Linked DNA regions of Sus scrofa. The main gene of each other region encodes a partner of the protein of the gene in region 2 in a complex. Links are inferred from orthologs where the notes say so. Each region holds a gene or a part of one and is shown on either strand. Other genes may lie near its edges. The genes, in order: APOO, IMMT, APOOL and CHCHD3.

Region 1 (5,470 bases), on a different chromosome or scaffold from region 2:
AATGCCTAGAAGAGTGGAGGGTTTTTACATGCTTTCTAAAAGCTTTTCATCCTAGTTTTATCACGGAACATCTGTGAGACTATGGGCAAGTCCCTTAATCTCTCAGTAGCTCAGTTCCTTGCCTAGTAAAGTGAGAGCATGTGTAGTAAGTGATCTGATTCCACCTCTGATTTTCTATCCTTTGATACATTACTCCAATTTGGAAGCAGTTTCCAATTCTTAGTAACTGCCTAGTGTCTTGTACTAAACCAGGGCCTCTTTATCTTTTCTTTTGGTGCTGTGGACCCCTATGGACAAACTCCTTCTAAGAACTATGTTTTTCGTTTAATTGAAGGATAGTTGATTTACATTGTTGTATTAATTTCTGCTGTACAACAAAGTGATTCAGTTATACACATATATGTGTACATACAGATACACACACACATATATATTCTTTTTCATATTCTTTTCCATTATGGTTTAACACGGGATATTGAATAAGAATTATGTTTTTTTAAACCCATAATCTAAAATATATAGGGTTACAAAAGACTTCAATTATATTGAAATCATTGTAAAAATATTTTCAAAAACAAAATTATAGAAATGTCTTCTTTATGCATTAAATAAAATAAAAAATGAGAGCTCTAATAATTACAGTACTTGTGAAGTGGTAATGAGCAGAAATGATATTTCAAGAAATCTGCTGTGACTATAATATGATATGAAAATATCTGTGCTTTCTACTGATGACAAAGTCATAGGTACCGCTGAACTACTGTGGTTACCTACACCACAATTTAAAGAACTGTTAAAGTTCAGTTATAGGTTAGTGAAAATAAAGTTGTAATTTTTCCCCAAGTTCATGTACCTCCAGAATTAAGAATTTCTGCCCTAACTTACCATTTATAAGTCACACTCTTATACACATATGACATTCCATTACTGATGCAGAGCCTTCAGAGTCTCCTAAATAGTTCTCCTTAGGTATAGGGAAGGCTAGGGATATACAATTCTCTTGAGAAAGAGAAAAGTAGCCCTTAACATCTGGGAGCTGGCCTGGCACCCACACCTGGGCTTTCGTGTTAGCCCTGGCTTCCTAGCACCACCCAATCCAGAACAAGGACTCGCTTCCCTGAACTCACCCGCAAACCCCCCAACCAAAGCCCCAAATCCTAGAATAAATCTAACACCCTCTTACTGAGATGCCCCACCGTTTCCCAAGGGTGCGTTCTCCTGGCACCAAAGAGAAATGAACTCAGCTTGTTCAACTACAGTATTCTTAGTGATCTTGGCTGGAGAGCAGTGACACCGCACCAAACTCCCAAAATCTTCTGGATGCCTGCCCCGGATGGGCTTACATTTGCTGCGGGATTAGAATGAAATACAGAATGAAACATGAAATACAACCCCGGTATGAGACACTACAACAGTTGTTTACTTGCGATCACAGGCTTTAAAGCCAGGCTACTGAGGTTTGAATCCTGGCTTCCCACTTTCCTTCTGTATGACCTTCCACATATTACTTCTCTGAGCCTCGGTTTCTTCATGTATTTGACGGGAGATAATAATCGTGCCCACCTACTTGGGTTGTTGGAAAGAAGAGTATGTGTAAGGAGTTTACATCAGAGCAAGTTACATAGTAAACGCTGTTGGTGGTTGCTATTCTTGTTAATAAGATAATTTTTGTCATTATTACTTATTTCTACTCTAATTAAAGGACAAACATTTGATTCCCTGTGAGAAACATACGCTTAAGCATTTTAAAGAAGAAAAAAATGTCGGGCTCTTTCAAGACTAAAGGACAAGGCAAATTAGTTTAAATTTAAAATCTTGGAAATGGCTAAACAAGGGTGAAAAAAAAAACCCCACAAAACTAAAAACCTTTTGTGAGGTAAATCCAGGCCCCCGAGGTCGGTAGCTTCCGGCTGCGAGGCTTTCGAAGCCACCAGAGGCCTGCCGAGCGCCCCCGCCCGGCGGCCTCCGCACACAGGCTTCCCAACCCACGCTGCTGGCGCCCAATCACGGCGGCGAAGGCCAATTCCCAGCACGGCTCTGCGCTCGGCGCCTCCCTCCTAGCGCCCCCGCGTGCCGCCCACACTGAGCTGGCGCTTTCCCGCCGCCTAGCAACCGCCGGCGCAGGGGCGGAGCCTCCGGAAGGCGGGGCTTGTGTTCGCCGCCTGAGGCGCGACGCGCTGCAGCTCAACGACGCTGCTAGCAGCCCAAGCTTCCGAGTTAAGCCTTAGCGGGATCGAATTGGCTGTACGCCTGTTACCCGCACCGCGGCCCGCTTGCGGTCGGAGGAATCGGGCCCTAATCGGCCGCCGTAGTTACCTCTCTATAGTGGGCGTGGCCGAGGCCGGGTGACCCCGCCGGAGCCGCCGCTGCCAGCGACATGTTCAAGGTGAGAGTGTCGAGCCGGGTCACAACTGTCACCGCCCCTTCCCGGCCGCCTGCAGCTCTCCCCGCGCTCTTTTGGGCCTCTCTGGGAACCAGAACTGGCTCGCTTTGAGGCTTTTCCCGCCTCCGGGCTGCCTGTGTCCCGGTCCCGAGGGTCATTCACCGGTCCGCCTGGAGTTTGCGGTTGAGGCACAGGAGGCGGGAGATTCGAGGGTGGTGGGTTGGGCCCTTTGGTCGTGCTCTCGGGAATAAAATGTTTTAAAAAGTTAAAGTATCCCTCACAGTATCCACACTCTGGCTGGTGCCCTCTTGAGTTCGTGAGTAGGGTTAGGCCAGCTTAGGGCACCGCGGGGTTCGGCTTTGGTTGTGCCGGGCAAGGTCAGGTTTTAGAACCTGGTATGAATGGGGGAGGTCACCTTCGGCGAAGCTCCTGCAGGAAGTCGGGGAGACTGGCATGGGAATGGAACGGCTGGGTTAGGGGAAGAAGCTGGACTTTCTCCTCCCCAGTGAACATTATATAGTATGGACAGGTCGAGCCCCTTCTTTACAGTTTTTGAACTCGTGTCCTTTGAAAGACTTTTACAGTGAAGACTGTTTCGAAAATCTGCATTTTAACATGAAGCCATTATTCTCCTTCAAAAAAAGTAAATGATATTTTTTATAATGAAGAACAAATCGCAAGCTACCAGAAATGAGTCTACAAAATTGAGTCAAGAAGCATTGTACCCATAAAAGACTGCTAATGAAATCTCAGAATTATACTACTCATTTAAAAGTGTTTTTTTTTTTTTTTTTTTTTTTTTTGCCTTTTTCCAGGGCCGCTCCTGTGGCATATGGAGGTTCCCAGGCGAGGGGTCTAATCAGAGCTGTAGCTGCCGGTCTACGCCATAGCCACAGCAACGGGACCTGAGCCGCGTCTGCGACCTACACCATAGCTCAGGGCAACTCAGGATCCTTAATCTACTGAGCAAGGCCAGGGATCGAACCTGAAACCTCATAGTTCCTAGTCGGATTCGTTTACCCCTGAGCCACGACGGGAACTCCTTAAAAGTTTTATTGAGTGCCTACAACGTGCTTTGGGTACACTGGGACAGGCTCTAAAGTCAGAATGTGGGTTTGGCCTTCCATTCCTGGAGTTGCCACGTTCTAGATGTGTGACCTTGAGCAAGTCACTTAACCTCTCTGAGCCTGTTTTTTTATTGGTGAAGTTAGGGAAACAACATTTACCTGTAGGCTTGTTATAAGGAATAAATAAGTTAGTATGTGTAAAGAATTTGTAAGAGGCCCTGGCACATAGAAGTGACATCCAGGTATTTGCTTTTATTTTGTTTTCAGGTAGCTCACAGTTTAGTTAGGACAACAGATCTCATAAGCAACTTGGTTTTGTTTGATAAATTTGTGTTGAATACCTATTATGTGCTAGGAGCCTGGCTTAGTTTGAGGGTTGCAACAACAAAGGGTACACTGTGTTGCGACAATAAAGAGTATGCTGTGATCATTTCATATGGTTATCAGCAGTGTTCTGTGGTGGTGAAAAGGAGAGTATCATCTCCTCTGTTTTACCAAGGGTTCTTAAGCTGTGGTTCTTGGCCCCTTAGAAGGTCTGGATAGAATTAAGAGGATCTTTAAATTCTGGCAGGGAAAAAAAAAATCAGTTTCATTAATCTGCTGAAATTTAGCATTTCTTTCAGTTATGAATGTAGGTTAACAGTTTCAATTACCAGTTTCCAGATAATGACCTTAAAACAACAGTGATTTATTACTTCTCACCATCTATAGGTTGTCTGGACAGTTCTGCCGGCATCCTCTAGTGACAGAATTCAACTGGTGGCTATACTATGAGGTAGCCTTACTCTCATATCAGTGGGCCTGGGGCCCCTCAATGTGGCTGTTTTGGGCTCCCTTACATGGTTACTGGGTTCTAAGAAGCCTAGTCCCGGTGCATAAACACATGCTTATATCGCATTTGCTGATGTCAAAACAAGTCACATGGCCAAGGCCCGAGTCAGTATGGTGTGAGGTTACAGAACAGCACAGATACGAGAACATGTGGTTCATGGGGAGCAATTAATTAAGTTACTACAGCCACAAACTAGTGGTAGTCACCAATAGAAGTCAGCAGGACCAATGCATGTCACAGACATTTTCATATCACATTACAGTGGTTCCAGATCTCAAGATATTTATGCTTATCACTGCTTTAAGATTATAGTAGTTATGGGACTTCCCGTCGTGGCGTAGTGGTAACAATCCGACTAGGAACCATGAGGTTGCTGGTTCGATCCCTGCCCTTGCTCAGTGGGTTAACGATCCGGCGTTGCCGTGAGCTGTGGTGTAGCTCGCAGACGCGGCTCGGATCCTGCGTTGCTGTGGCTCTGGCGTAGGCTGGTGGCTACAGCTCCAATTGGACCCCTAGCCTGGGAACCTCCATATGCCGCCGGAGCGGCCCAAGAAATGGCAAAAAGACAAAAAAAAAAAAAAAAAAAGAAAAAGAAAAAGATTATAGTAGTTATAAGACTCTCTAATAGGTTTTTTTAACTTAAAGAGCTAATAAAGAAGTACACATTACTATATCAGATTTGGGGTTTTAAAAACAACTATATTGCAATATAATTGGCATTTATAAAATGCAGTTAGAAGCATTATTTTGAGAAGGGGTCCCTAGGGCTTACCAGACTGCCAAAGAAGATGGTGGCACAAAAAAGGCAATGAACCCCTGGGGACTTCAGGTGAGGCAAGTTTTGAAAGCCAGGAGTTCCTCAGGTGGATGAGCCACGGAACAGCAGCAGTGGTACTCCATGGGGGAAGTGCTGGTAGATCAGTTCTTCTGTATCAAGGGAAAGATAAAGGGAGCTGAAATTGTTGAAACATGTACTTTGAGTCGAAAAGCTCACAGCAGACCTTGTTGGATACCAAAATTTAAGGAGGAGTATGAGGAAGAGGGGAGCCCAGAGATTTTGAGAAGCAACCTGATAAGTAGAAGTAGGAGCACCAGAGTGATGTTTAAACAATTAAGGGAGGGAAGTTTCAAGGGCAGGCTATGTTAGAATGCTCTCAGGTGGGAAAATCCAACTGCTTAAATAGTAAG
Region 2 (4,810 bases):
TCCTAATCATTTTAGAGTTGGGAAACTTGGTTTTCTGGATTAATTAAGTTGAGGTTGGGTCTTTCCCCTGAGTAGATTCATTTGTATCTTAGTGTGGTGTTTTTTGCTAGATTGCATAGGTGATTTTTCAGATGTCTTAAGTTTACAAAGTGAAAATAGGTATTTTATGCTTTGTTTTGTTTTGTTTTCTTGCCGGTTTATAAAACACATGGCAAATTCCAGTTGTCTCCAAGAAGTAATTAGCATAAGATACATTTAAAAGTACTAATTGGGTGCACACACACACACACTGGAATACTACTTAGCCATAAAAAAGAATGAAACTTTGTCATTTGCAACAACGTGCATGGACTTGGAGGGCAGTATCCTGAGGGAAAGAAATCAGAGAAAAACAAGTACTGTATGATCACTTATATGTGGAATCTAAAAAATTTAAGAAACTAGTGAATATAATAAAAAAAAGACTCAGAACAAACTAGTGATTGATTACCAGTGGGGAGGGTGGAGGGGCAAAATAGGGGTAGGAGATTAAGAGGTACAAACTTATGCATAAAATAAACTTCAAGGATATATTGTACAGCACAGAGAATATAGCCAGTATTTTCTAATAACTATAAGTGGGGTATAACATTTAAAAATTGTGATAGTAAGTTGTACACCTGAAACTTATATAATGTATATTAACTATACCTCAGTAAGAGAAAAGTATTAATTGCTGATCATCTGATAGTCTCTTTTTATTTTTATTTATTTATTTATTTTTTATTTTTTTGTCTTTTTGCCTTATCTAGAGCCACTCCCATGGCATACGGAGGTTTCCAGGCTAGGGGTTTAATCAGAGCTGTAGCCACTGGCTTACGCCAGAGCCACAGCAACATGGGATCCAAGTCATGTCTGCAACCTACACCACAGCTCACGGCAACGCTGGATCTTTAACCCACTGAGCAAGGCCAGGGATCGAACCCGCAGCGTCATGGTTCCTAGTCAAATTCATTTACCACTGTGCCATGATGGGAACTCCTGATAGTCTCTTTTTTAAATTTAAAAACTTTTTTTTTTTCCTTTTTACAGGTACACATGTGGTATGTGCAAGTTCCTAGGCTAGGGATAGAATTGGAGCTGTAGCTGCCGGCCTACACCACAGCCACAGTAATATGGTACTCAAGCTGCATCCAAGACCTATGCCCACAGCTTGTGGCAATGCCAGATCCTTAACCCACAGAGTGAGGCCAGGGATCGAACCTGCATACTCATGAATGTTAGTTGGATTCTTAATTCACTGAGCCACAATGGGACCTCCCTGATACTTTCTTTTTTTGAGATCTTGAAAGTAATTTTATGAGTCTTGAGGTGCAGGAAACATCACTGGTGTTTTTTGTGGGTTTTTTTTGTTTGTTTTTTGTCTTTTTTTTAGGGCCACACCTGTGGCCTGTGGAGGTTCCCAGGCTAGGGTCTAATTGGAGCCGTAGCTGCCAGCCTACACCACAGCCACAGCAATGCCAATCCAAGCCAAATCTGCGACCTACACCACAGCTCAGGGCAACGCTGGATCCTTAGTCCACTGAGCGAGGCCAGGGATTGAACCTGCAACCTCATGGTTCCTAGTTGGATTTGTTTCCACCGTGCCATGACAGGAACTCCCAGCATCACTGTTTTTAAGGGTCTTTATTCCATGGTAAATTGGTTTCTGAAAATAAATTTTTGTTGGAGTTCCCATCATGGCTTAGCAGTTAATGAACCTGACTAGCATCCATGAGGATGTGGGTTCGATCCCTGGCCTCACTCAGTGGGTTAAGGATCTGGCGTTGCCGTGAGCTGTGGTGTAGGTCTCAGATGCGGCTCAGATTCCTAGTTGCTGTGGTTGTGGTGTAGGCTGGCAGCTACAGCTCCAATTTGACCCCTGGCCTGGGAACCTCCATATGCCGTGTGTGTGGCTTAAAGACAAAAACAAACAAAACAATTAAAAAAAAAACGTTCTGTTTAATGAAGACTTTTATAATAAAAGTATTGCTTTTGAGTTCCTAGCCCTAAAAGCCTCCCAGATTCCTATGACTGTATTTTTTTTTTTTTTTTTTTCTTTTGGTCTTTTCTAGGGCCGCTCCCGAGGCATATGGAGGTTCCCAGGCTAGGGGTCTAATCGGAGCTGTTGCTGCTGGCCTATGCCACAGCCACAGCAACGCCGGATCCTTATCCCACTGAGCAAGGGCAGGGATCAAACCTGCAACTTCGATAGTTCCTAGTTGGATTCGTTAGCCACTGAGCCACGACGGGAACTCCTCCTACGACTGTATTGATTGTGCTGTTTCCTCCTTCTTCTCTAGAGTTGTCTCTGTGGGAAGTTTGTCCTCCGTCCACTCCGACCATGCCGCAGATACTCCACCTCAGGCAGTTCCCGGTATGTAGTATATCTCCCTATACACAGACTTTTTAATTGTGTGCTAAGGGTGTGTGTCTCTGTGTGTGTGTTTCTTGAATATGGAAATATCTGCTTAATTTTTTTTTTTTTTTTTTTTTTTGTCTTTTTGCCTTTTCTAGGGTGCTCCTTCAGCATATGGAGGTTCCCAGGGTAGGGGTCTAATTGGAGCTGTAGCCATCGGCCTACGCCAGAGCCACAGAAACGTGGGATCCGAGCTGCATCTTTGACCTACACCACAGCTCACAGCAACGTTGGATGCTTAACCCACTGAGTGAGACCGGGAATCAAACCAGCAACTTCATGGTTCCTAGTTGGACTTGTTAACCATTGAGCCACAGCGGGAACGCCAAAAATTTTTTAAAGGGGTACACACATTGGAACTTTGCCATAATATCTTTGGAGCATCACTTATTTGTAGGTAAAAATTTGTTATGGTGTGCCTTTTGGTTCTTTGCTGATTGGATGAAATTCAGGGTAGAGACCCTAGCCCCCCCATCCCCTCCTGTGCTGTCTTCCATTCTATGGCAAATAGATTTAGATTTATACCCAGAACTCAGCAGGTTGGAAATTAAAAGTATTTGTTCTCCTTGACGTTCATTTTATTGTATTTACAGAAATGTGTTTTTGGGTTTTTTTTGTTTGTTTTTTGCTGTTCCCAAGGCATGTGGATCAAACACATGCATGTGGGCTAGGGATCAAACCCACACCACAGCAGTGACAATACTGCATTCTTTTTGTTTTGTTTTGTTTTGTTTTGCTGCACCCTCATCGTATGGAAGATCCCAGGTCAGGGATCAAATCCAAGCCATAGCTGGCAACACCAGATTCTTAACACATTGCGCCTGTCTGAGGATCAAACCCATGCTTCTCCAGCGACCGGAGCTGCTGCAGTTGGATCCTTAACCACTGTGCCACAGTGGGAACTATAACACCAGATTCTTAACCTGCTATGCCACCAGAGAATTTCCTACAGAAATGGTTAATAAGGGGGAGGACTTTTTTTTTAAGGCCATACCCATAGCATATGGAAGATCCTGTGCCAGGGATTGAATCCAAGCCACAACTGCAGCAATGCTGGATCCTTTAACCCACTGTGCTGGGCTGAGTATCAAACCTGTGGCTTCGTAGCAACCCGAGCTATTATAAGTTGGATTCTTTTTTTTTTTTTTTGTCTTTTTAGGGGTGTGCCCCTGGCATATGTAGGTTCCCAGGCTAAGGGTTGAATTGGAACTGTGGTTGCCAGCCTATGCCATAGCCACAGCAGTGCCAGATCCGAGCCACATCTGCAACCTACACCACAACTCAGGGTAGCACTGGATCCGTAACCCACTAAGCTAGGCCAGGGATCAAACCTGCATCCTCATGGATACTAGTCAGGTTTGTTTCTGCTGAGCCATGACGGGAACTCCTATAGTTGAATTCTTAACCCACTGCGCCACAGCAGGAACTCCAGGGAAAGGAGCTTTGAAGATTAGTGATACTTGTTTTTTGAGTTCAGAGGAAACTTCATGACTGTGAACATGCTAAGTTTTAAGTATTAAAGGGCAAATTGCTTGGTTTTTCCTGTACCGGATATTACTATTTAAAAAAAAAAAATTCCACAAGTAAAAAATAAGCATTTTTTAAAAATTATGAACATGTTAAAATCAAATCAGGTAATACAACATTGTGAATCAACTATACTTCAATAAAAGTTTTTTAAAAAATGAGTGAAAGGTGATTGTAGCTGTGGTGATAAACTGGGCTGCTGTCATCTGAATCAGCGGTAGAGAATTACAGGCCCGAGGTCTTTGAGACTCTTATTGGTCTAGGGAAGTACGTTTAAGAGAACTGAAAAACAAAAATGTGTTTCCTATTTCTTTCACTTAGGTTGTCTCCTGGCAAAATTGCCGGCGCTGGCATTTTATTCGTTGGTGGTGGTATTGGTGGCACTATTCTGTATGCCAAATGGGATTCGCATTTCCGGACAAATGTAGAGAAAACCATACCTTATTCAGACAAACTCTTTGAAATGGTTCTTGGTTCCCCACCTTATACTGTTCCATTACCAAAGAAGTCGGTAAGAGTTTTAAGAACAGTTTCAGTTTATCCTATGGTATACTTTGAAAAGCAGGTTGTTTTCATATTAAAAATATTTTGTATGTATAGTTCAGTAGAATTTTCTGGGTATATGTTTGTCATTTTTCTTTAAATTGACCTAATATTATGTTGAGCTGGATTCCCTTTGGAGTCCTATAAGTGCTCTCATTTAGTCCACGCCACATAGAAAAAAATTATATGGCACACCAGGCTAAATGGAATGGTGAGCTCAGGCAGAGCTTATTATAGTGAGCATGCATTTCATAAGTTAAAATAATGAAACTTAAATAAAAATAAAATAGATATTGTTCTTTT
Region 3 (4,810 bases), on a different chromosome or scaffold from region 2:
ATTGTATTCCCCAGTACATTTTAAATAGAACTTAATTGAATTACCTATTAAACAAAGTTGATAATGCCGGTACCATTTTTTCCTCATTCTGACCTAGGGACTATTCACAAAATCAGGATTCAATCCTTGAGGAACTTAAAATTGCTGAAGGAATGAAAATGTAATTTGTATGAAATATTTCCAGGTACTTTCATTGTGTAAAGTGAGTTATGCCTTTGTTTAAATCAATTTACAAAAAAATACTTTATATGAAGTATTCTGGTTAATTGAATCTTCTGGTAAACTTGTGGCTAATCATAAAATCCTTTTTAAGTTCAGCTCATCTTGTTAGACATCTTCTTTAAAAGTAGCAATATACTTTTATATAATTTTACTTTTATATAATTAATAAGATGGTCTTATTAATTACCATCTAGTGAATATAATTAAATCTTTCATTTTTAGAAAACTGCAGAGCTATGAGGTGACCTTTTTATAAAACCATAAAATTCACAGTATTCTGACTAGAAAATAACTGGCAGTTGGGTTGTGTGGATATAGTCAACCACATACATTACTGGATGTTTCTTTTTAAAGTATTTCTATAATGCGAGTTTGACTTTTCTTGTTGTTTTCTTGTTTTCAGCCAAAAAATAATGGAAGAAATATTAATTTGAGAGTTCTAGTTACTTTGGTTCAATTTAAATGTTGTTAGTTTACTGAATCTTAGCTTAAATTTTTTTTTTCCTTTTTAGGGCCACACGCATGGCACATGGAAGTTCCCAGGCTAGGGGTTGAATCTGAGCTACAGCTGCTGGCCTATGCCACAGCAATAGCAACACGGGATCCCAGCCTCATCTGAAATTTATACCACAGCTCATGGCAACACCAGATCCCTGACCCTCTGCTCGAGGCCAGGGATCAAACCTGCATCCTCATGGATACCAGTCGTGGGTTCGTTTCAGCTGAGCCATAACGAGAACTCCTCTTATAATGTCTAATCAGGTACAAACAAGTTGTACTTATACAGTAGATGGCATTTAAGCCAAGGGCCTCCAATCCATGATGAGAATGTTCTTTCATTGGTCAAGACAAAATTCTCAGAATGGAGTAGAAATCCCAGCTATTGTATATTTTTGACATGATGATTTTTTTTTTTTTTTTGCTTCTAGCTCCCTATATATACTGCACCACCTCTTCAGTCTAAATATGTTGAAGAACAGCCTGGTCGTTTACAAGTGGGCTTTGCATCCATTCGCACTACAACTGGTCGTTATCTTGGCTGGTGCAAGGTAAGTGAATTCTAACAGTGGTTTGATGTTGGAGGTTTTTTGTTTGTATTACATAACAATTGATCCAGTTATCCATTGATGTATAACAAACTACCCTAAAACTTAGTGGTTTTAAACATCAACTATTCTATTACATCTCATGATTTTGTGAGTCAGAAACATAATCAGGCTTTAAACAGGTGATTCTTTTGTTGCATATGGTGTTGACAGAAGTCACTCAAAGGTACTTGTCAAGTGAATGGGCTGACCTAGAGATTCAAGAAAGCTTCACTCAACCCTGGCACCTTGTCACAGATGATCGAGGCACCTACACCTGGACTCTCAGGTAGTCAGATAGCTTACATGGACAGTTCAGGGCTCCTAGTGAAAATCTTACAAGAGACTCTTGTCAGAATTTTCCAAGCTTCTTACCTATCTTAAGATGTCCCAGAAAGTCACTTCTACAGCATTCCATTGTTGAATCAAGTTTCTAAGGCCAACCCAGTTTTTACAGGAGAGGAATTAGATCCCACTCTCAATATGAGTAGCAGCAAAGAATTTGTGGCCATATTTAATCTACTATACCAGCACTGCATAGATTAAAGTAGTTCAGCAGGCATTTACATCACGTAGCATGTATAAAACATTGCTTGACCTTTTAGGTGAAATTCTGAGATTAATTCTGTATTGTTCCTTATTTGGCTGAGTAAAAAGTTCACTTGGGATAAGACCATTCTGACTACAGTCAGCTATTGGGCAAAATAGAGTTTACCTTATTTTAATATTTAGTCTTCCAATCAGCATTATCCAGCAGCAGAGTGGTGGAGTAAGCTAGTACAATACTACTGTTCCATTATTATCTAATCCGCATAGGTGTTAGCATCAACATCTCCATTGTTAGTGCCATAATGATAATGCTGGTACCATTTTTTTCCTCATTCTGACCTAATAACCACATAACTTTTCCTCAAATCTGACCTACCCAATTGTGAACCCTTGTGCTTCTTGTTTCTAATTCATTTTTAAAACGAGAAGTCTAATGATTTTGTGAAATATCAAATCTGTGAACTCTGCTCATTTCAGATGATATTTCAAACATCTAATGAATACATGGTGTTATTTTTTTTTATTTGTGCCTGTCAAACAATTCTAATAGACTCTTAATACACTCTTAATAGTTTGACTAGTACTACATATTCTTAATAGTTTGGTCAGCAGGAAATAGCTTAACTAATTAGGTGCTTAGTCACGTACCCGAGGCTATATGCCAATAGCTGGATGATTCCGACTGAAGTCTCTTGAGACTTTTTCCAAAGTTCTCAAAGTTGTTTCAGAGAGGTAAATTGTTCCTGAGAGATTGTAAATTGTTCTCGAGAGATTGTTAAATAGAAAATTTCATAGCAGCTAGTTCAGAGAAGGAGACCATGTATTTGGATTGTGTTTTCTAGTTCCATCGATAGAGTACAGCATGACTATGGGCATTAACTACTGGTAAATCATTCAGAAATATGCTGAAACCAATAGGTTAAAGAAGGGTGCTTTAGAATGCATTTCATCTTTGATGTAAGCATTTCATCTTTAATTTTATCTTAAAAACGTAATCTATTTTTTAAAAATTACCTCTGACTCAAATTACATTCTGCGTTAAACTTAGACTCATGTAGGGCAAATTCAATTCCTATTCCTACTCCTTACTGTTTTAAAATTTAGATAGCAGTGACCTCCAGTGGTAAAAGTGAATTTCTAAACACACCTAAGAAGAAATTTCCCGAAAAGAACTGACTAGTTTTCTTCCTCAACAGTTACATGATTCCCAGACAACTGGTCGATAAGTATTGTAACTTTGAAGGTGAAATTTTCTCAAGAGCCTATCCCTTAAAAGAAGTAGCTCATTAATAGTTAGGATATGTGTTGGTTTGTATAGCTTTAAACCGTAATGAACAGGATAAACTTCTGCATTTGATTATCATGAAAATATCTGAAGCAGTTACTAATACCAAGATCTATCTATAGCAATAACATTTCTTTCCCGTCTGATAAAATCATTTCTATTTTCTTTGCTTTGAAAATCTGTTTTGTTGTTTTTTAATCCCATGGTTTCATAGCAGCTAGTTCAGAGAAGGAGACCATGTATTTGGATTGTGTTTTCTAGTTCCATTGATAGAGTACAACATGACTATGGGCATTAACCACTGGTAAAACATTCTTTGCCTTTGTATTTCTTCTAATGTAATTGAGATTGTACCTATCACTTAATAAATGTGTGTAACAGTATTTCTGGCATTAGCTTAAGTTAGTTAGAAACAGGTAATTTAATTTAAAGCCCTAATCCTTCCAATGGGTAAATATAATCTTGATTTATAGAGAATTTATGTTCTTACTGAAAACAAGATGGGCACTAGTCTGTATAGGATAATTTCTATCCTGAGATAAATGTTTTATTTAGAGTTTTTTCTCATTCTCATGCACATTAAGGAAAAAGAGAAGATGAAGTACTTTTCTTTATGCTTTTTGTTGTTGTTTTCTCCACAAATCATTGTTGTTGCCGCCACATCTTTATTAATCAGGTATTGCTTCTAAGCTGAAATATTCATCTCCATGTTTTATTTAAGTTCCATTCATTTTTCTAGTCTATCATAAACTAATATGATAACTCATTGTATTTCTGCAATAACTTTTCTGTGAGCTGCTCTGATTATTTTATAGGTATTGCTTTACCCATTTATATGAGGAAATTAGTAAACAAATGTTATCCATGTTAAATGGAATGAAAAACAAATGAAGAGAAGCTAAGTTGAATAAGTGCCCTCATAGAGAGTAAATAGGAAAGCTAGATTTAGATTTGGGTGCATGCTAAATCAGCATTTTCCTATAATCTCAGAGACATGTTCTGTTTGATCTAATTATCAAATTTTATAATTATCTAATTATCAAATTATCTTAAAAAATGCTGATGTCCTTTCTCCCCCCTTTTATTTAGAGTGCTTATGTCTTCATGAAAAATGGGATAAAGGATGCAGTACAATTTGGAAAAGGTAAGTTAGTGAACCATCAATATAATTAGAAATGTTGTATAGTCTTTTTAACTTGCAAGGTTTAAATGTCAGAAAAATTAACTTGGTATGTTATCCATTATCATGTTTTACTAACTCAGAAGACACCCTGTATAGGAGTTTATAAACAAAGCACTATTTAGTATCCATTATTTAGCAGTTATTATACGCTAAGGCACTATGATAAGCATTTTATATATCTAATTTAATTTTGTATCAAATACCTGAGTGTTGGTATTATAATTATTCTCATTTTATAGATGAGGAAATGGGTTTGGAAGGATTAGGTAGGTTACCAAGGTCATATAGCTAGTAAGTGACAGCATCTGGACTATGGTCTGTTTTAGCTACAGAACCCGTATTATATACTCATGAAGCATAAATTAGAAACATAACTCCATTGTTATCAATTAGTTTAATTAAGTGCTATTTGCTGTTAAAATACATGATATTTTGCTATCGATTGCTAGGAAAGACTACACCAATTAGTCACCCTAGAATATTGGA
Region 4 (4,810 bases), on a different chromosome or scaffold from region 2:
CTTTGCCCTAACAGATTAATCCAAGCAAAATGTACCAGAGTCTAGTCCAGGAACTGGAAGGCAGTTAATGTTGATTTCCACACTTCTTCCCCCATCCTACCATCTAATCATCCGTATAGCTGAGATGTGTACAAAAAGGATTTCAGAAGATGTCTGCTCGCGTGCACAAGCACGCGCACACACACACACACACTCACACAGAACAGATTACCATACAGGAAATCACGGGTCCTGGAAGTGAGTCGTATTGATTTGTGGTGATAAAAGTATATTTTGACACATTTCAAATCATAAATAACTCATGGACTTTAACTTGCATGACTCATCGCTCAACCCAGGGTAAATGCTTACATGTAACTTAAATTACCTCGTTCTAAGGAGTTCATAGTATTAGATGAGTGAACCCCCTGTGAATAGTCTTTTCAGGAGGGGAAAAAAAAAACCAAGAAACCACACAGTGTCTTCTTTGTGATGAGCAGCGTGTGGAGGCTCATTCTTTACAGTTTTTTCCTGTGTGTTAGTGGGGAGGGGCTGCGTATCTGGTCGGGATGGTTCTCGCCTTCTCTCTCATCTCCTTTCCCCTGCTTTAAATCTAAGTTATATTGGGGGGAATGAGATAGAATATACCCCTGCTTCCTTATGAACTCTTACAGACATTATTAGTCCTATATGTGCTAGGATCAGCTGACCTGGTGCATAATCCTGTTTTATTCAGTATTTGTGCAGATGTGCATCTTGCGGTAATCAGTCACTTAGTGTCACGTCTATGCTTCTACCCCTCGAAGCACAGATGCTGGTGTTCATGGTAGGGTATTAGGGAAATCCATGTCTGGAGGAATTCATAGAAATCTGAACTTCAGAATTTTAAAGTGCGTTGAAACTCCTGGGATTGGATTTAAATTCTGGTAGTAGGTATTTGGCAAAACAGTAAGGTAATGAGTGAAAAAGTGCAAGCAATGTTGTATAAAACTTGTGGGATTATATTTTTCTCTCTCTCTGTCGGCTTCTTTTTTAGAGGGTAGTAGGAAATAAATTCCCTTAGGGGCCAGTAACATGGTTTGCATTTCAGTTTTCTATTCTAGCAAAATATATATATTAGCTTAGTGTGTTGGATAAAAGTAATGAGGAGACAAATCGTCACCCAGGGGTTTCCTTATTGATGTGAAATATTTCTCCTGTGTTCTCTAGGGGTTTTTAAGAGCCCATCGAATTTAAAATAATGCTATTTTCAAGATTACTGTGGAAATAACAAATTTAAGTTTCAAAAAAGTGATAAGAAAGGCTGAAACCACTTCATTAAACAAAACTAATTTGAAAATTATGAAATCTAGATTAAAGTGCTGATAATAACATTTTTTTCCTGGGTATTTAGTCCTTCTAATCAAAGTTCTTCTACCATTTTCACAAGAATATTTCATTTTTGTTTGTATAATGCATTTGGTTTATTATCATTTTTTAAGTGTACATTATCAGCTTTTTGGAAGCATTTTTGTCCAGTACTGCATATTCACTGAAAGCTATCTAACTAAAATCTTGAGATCTGTAAGTATAATTAGTAAAATTTTAGCTCAGGGAACTAAAAAAAAATACTCTCTACACCCATTGGTATTCTCAACGATTTATTGCATGACATTTATTAGAGGTATCTGTGTTGATAGCTGAGATCACAAATAAGATGCATGGAGTTCCCTTCATGGTTCAACGGTTAACTACCCGACTAGGATCCATGAGAATGCGGGTTCGATTCCTGGCCATGCCCACAGCACATAGAAGTTCCTGGGTTAAGGATCCGGCGTTGCCGTGAGCTGCAGTGTAGGTCTCAGGCGCAGCTCGGATCTGGTGTTGCTATGGCTCTGGCGTAGGCTGGTGGCAACAGCTCCCATTAGACCCCTAGCCTGGGAACCTCCATATGCCGCGAGTGCAGCCCTGAAAGGACCAGAAACAAAAAACAAATTGCAGTCCTTACTACCTGGGATTGGCATGCTAGTAAATTGCACTGGACTGTAATGTAGTGAGTGCTAAGTGCATGGTGAAAGGAGTTCATAGGATCACCATAAAGGGGACTCTACTGTGGATGGGGAGAGCTAGTGAGAGTTCTAGGGAGGAAGTGACACTCTAGTACTTAGCTCAGGTATTGAGATACCTAGAAATGGGTGAGGGTTTGGGTGCAGAGCACTTCCAAACTCAAGAGGAGTATATCAAAGGTGCAAAGGGACATGTAAGAACCAAACCCTGAACAGGGTCTGGCTGGGCTGTAGCCCGTGCAGGGTGGTGCACTGAGGTGAAAGAGTAGGCAGAAATGGATCCAGAAGGACCTGCTTGTTGATCTTGTATTTTACTTAGAAAGCAGGTACTATCTCAGATTGATATATTACAAAGAACCTTCTGGGGGGCAGGAATAGATGGTGAAAGCTTAGAGACAGAGAGACCTGTGGAGGTCATGGCTTGAATCCAGGATATAAGTGATTCGGAATTAATGTGATGACAATGAATACGTGAAAGAGGACTGGACTGCAGGTTCTCAAGCTTCCTGACCAACTGGAGTGGGAATGGAGGAGCACCTTGGCGCTCCCACTCGCTGATCTGGCTGGCTGGGCTGAATGCACATGGTTACGTTTCAGGTCAGGTAGGGATGTTGACACTATCCAGAGTCTCTTGGTGGCATCGATTAATAGAACTGATTTCACAGAAATCATCTAAAAGTTGAAGAGGTATGCCCTTGTGGCGCAGCAGGTTAAGGATCTGGCCTTGTCCCTGCAGCAGCTTGGGTCGCAGTGAGTTGGATCCCTGGCCCAGGAACTTCTATGTGCTGTGGGCACGGCCGAATTAAAAAAAAAAAGTTGAAGAAAACGATTTCTCTTAAACTTTTTTGTGGCATTTGCAACATTTATATCCATTTACTGTTTTGTCTCTTCTTTGGTCTTTATCTTTATTCTGGTTGAAGACCGGTTGTCTCAGTGGTCTGTGTTTTTGTTTTCAGGCGGTATGAATGCCATCCCGTCTGTGCCGACCTGCAGGCCCAGATTCTCCAGTGTTACCGCCAGAACACCCAGCAGACCCTCAGCTGCTCCGCTCTGGCCAGCGAGTACATGCGCTGTGTCAATCAGGCCAAACAGGTAGGTGTGCAAGCCAGGCTCACTGGGCGTCAGAGGAACAGAAAGCCCAAGGGCACTCGGAAGGGCGCACTAGGCTAATATGTATGGAAAAGCTTTAAAAGCCAAACTAGTTGTCACCTTCAAGGGTTGCTATCAAGACTTGGTTAGGTCCTAACCAACTTTCATTTGGGTAGTTGTAGAAAGAGCCCACAGTCTCCTTGTGTTCAACTTACTCCCAGAAACAAATAAGTAAATAAATAAATAAGTAAATAAATTTTTAAAAATCTGTAAATAATGCCTTTTCCAGTTGCTCTGAACTTTTGTCCTCTACTCAGTAATTGTGTCCTCAAGGTCATTGCCCCATACTGGGCCAGCAGCTTCAGATCTAGAGACAGCTAGAGCCTGTTTTAAAACAAACAAAAGGCAAACACTCAAACTAAAACAAAAGCCCACCATGCTAGCATCATTCAGTCTTTTACTAATTGGTGGAGTCCAGTCAGTTGGGCAGGGAAAGAGAGGCCGGAGATGGATTTAGGAAGCGATATCCGTCGCTTCTGTGTACCATGGATATATTCTTATGATCCTTCCTGTCAGAGTAATATGATGATCATGGGACATGTATTTTTCTGTAATTTATGTACTTCAGAAAGCTAATGATAAACCCTGAAGCAAAATATCCATTTGGCAGGTCACATAATTGCCTATCATTTAACTGATTGTAACAGTTGGATATAGGTTTTTCTGAGAGATGGAAATTGTTGGAAACCTTGGTTCTTTGTGCTGACAAACTCCCTATAGTTGACCTTCCAACCCAACTGAATTTAGTGTTTGAGTTGCACAGCATGCCTTCCTGTGGTCTAATTTGCTGTAGTTATGAGAATGCCGCTTAATATAAATTTCTATCACCATAAATATCTAGTGGGAGGGTCAGTATTGTCTAGATAGCTGGAAAATAACAGCGACACTGGTAGAAAAAACTAAAACCAAAATAGAGTAAAGGCTTGTGTTGTCTTTAAAAGCCTTGTGGCTTGAGGCTTTTTTCTGTTTCTTGCTTATACAACACCTACATAACTTAGTGGTATGCCAGGGATTCCGCTCTTCTGAGGCCTTTGGTAAAAGTAATGTTGCTAATGTTAAGTTAGTACATTTTAATTTTCAAAAACAGCTTCTGATTTGCTCTTGACCACCTCCAGCCTTCAGTATTGACAGTAACTGAAGCATGTGGAACCGTGAGGACTTTGACCGTGTGATGTTAGTGCTCTCTTGAGTGGGGGAGGTGGTCAGTGCACAGAATGGTGGTGACTAAGTGTGTGTCCAGCGCTAGTGTCTGGTAACGTAGGTGCCTGTGTCTCCAGCGTGACTGCTAACATTACTGCAGGAGCACCTGTAGTGGTGTCTGGAGTGGACTCCATCCTGATTGTCAAGTGTGTTGACCTATCTCTACGTAGCCCCATGAGATCAACAGTGTGCATTTACAGAATAAAACAGAGGTAACTTGTGACAAAATCAAATATGCCACATGGAGCAACAGAGAGTTTGAATTGGGCAGATCTGAGTTTGTATCTAAGCCCTGTCTTTACTGACCCTGTGACCTTGATTTTTCTCATCAGCGAAGGGAAGTAATGTATTGTGAGGACTCCATTTTTACCGAGTATTCAATAAGTCTTAATTTTTTCCCTCCTTTCTTTCCTCAGTTGTATTATTCCATGCCGAAA

The links.
Region 1: IMMT (region 2) and APOO share a complex: the UniProt entries of both Homo sapiens proteins name them as parts of the mitochondrial contact site and cristae organizing system (MICOS) complex. The link is inferred for Sus scrofa from reciprocal best matches to the Homo sapiens genes IMMT and APOO.
Region 3: IMMT (region 2) and APOOL share a complex: the UniProt entries of both Homo sapiens proteins name them as parts of the mitochondrial contact site and cristae organizing system (MICOS) complex. The link is inferred for Sus scrofa from reciprocal best matches to the Homo sapiens genes IMMT and APOOL.
Region 4: IMMT (region 2) and CHCHD3 share a complex: the UniProt entries of both Homo sapiens proteins name them as parts of the mitochondrial contact site and cristae organizing system (MICOS) complex. The link is inferred for Sus scrofa from reciprocal best matches to the Homo sapiens genes IMMT and CHCHD3.

Annotation. Positions count from the first base shown.
Region 1 is NC_010461.5:20,014,440-20,019,909, reverse strand, and holds the start of APOO (MICOS complex subunit MIC26), read left to right. Parts: upstream 1-2,125; 5' UTR 2,126-2,377; coding exon 2,378-2,386; intron 2,387-5,470. UniProt on the Homo sapiens protein: Component of the MICOS complex, a large protein complex of the mitochondrial inner membrane that plays crucial roles in the maintenance of crista junctions, inner membrane architecture, and formation of contact sites to the outer membrane.
Region 2 is NC_010445.4:58,591,295-58,596,104, forward strand, and holds part of IMMT (MICOS complex subunit MIC60), read left to right. Parts: intron 1-2,321; coding exon 2,322-2,395; intron 2,396-4,285; coding exon 4,286-4,475; intron 4,476-4,810. UniProt on the Homo sapiens protein: Component of the MICOS complex, a large protein complex of the mitochondrial inner membrane that plays crucial roles in the maintenance of crista junctions, inner membrane architecture, and formation of contact sites to the outer membrane.
Region 3 is NC_010461.5:68,326,103-68,330,912, forward strand, and holds part of APOOL (MICOS complex subunit MIC27), read left to right. Parts: intron 1-1,151; coding exon 1,152-1,271; intron 1,272-4,230; coding exon 4,231-4,285; intron 4,286-4,810. UniProt on the Homo sapiens protein: Component of the MICOS complex, a large protein complex of the mitochondrial inner membrane that plays crucial roles in the maintenance of crista junctions, inner membrane architecture, and formation of contact sites to the outer membrane.
Region 4 is NC_010460.4:16,310,793-16,315,602, forward strand, and holds part of CHCHD3 (MICOS complex subunit MIC19), read left to right. Parts: intron 1-2,980; coding exon 2,981-3,116; intron 3,117-4,789; coding exon of another isoform or gene 4,790-4,810. UniProt on the Homo sapiens protein: Component of the MICOS complex, a large protein complex of the mitochondrial inner membrane that plays crucial roles in the maintenance of crista junctions, inner membrane architecture, and formation of contact sites to the outer membrane.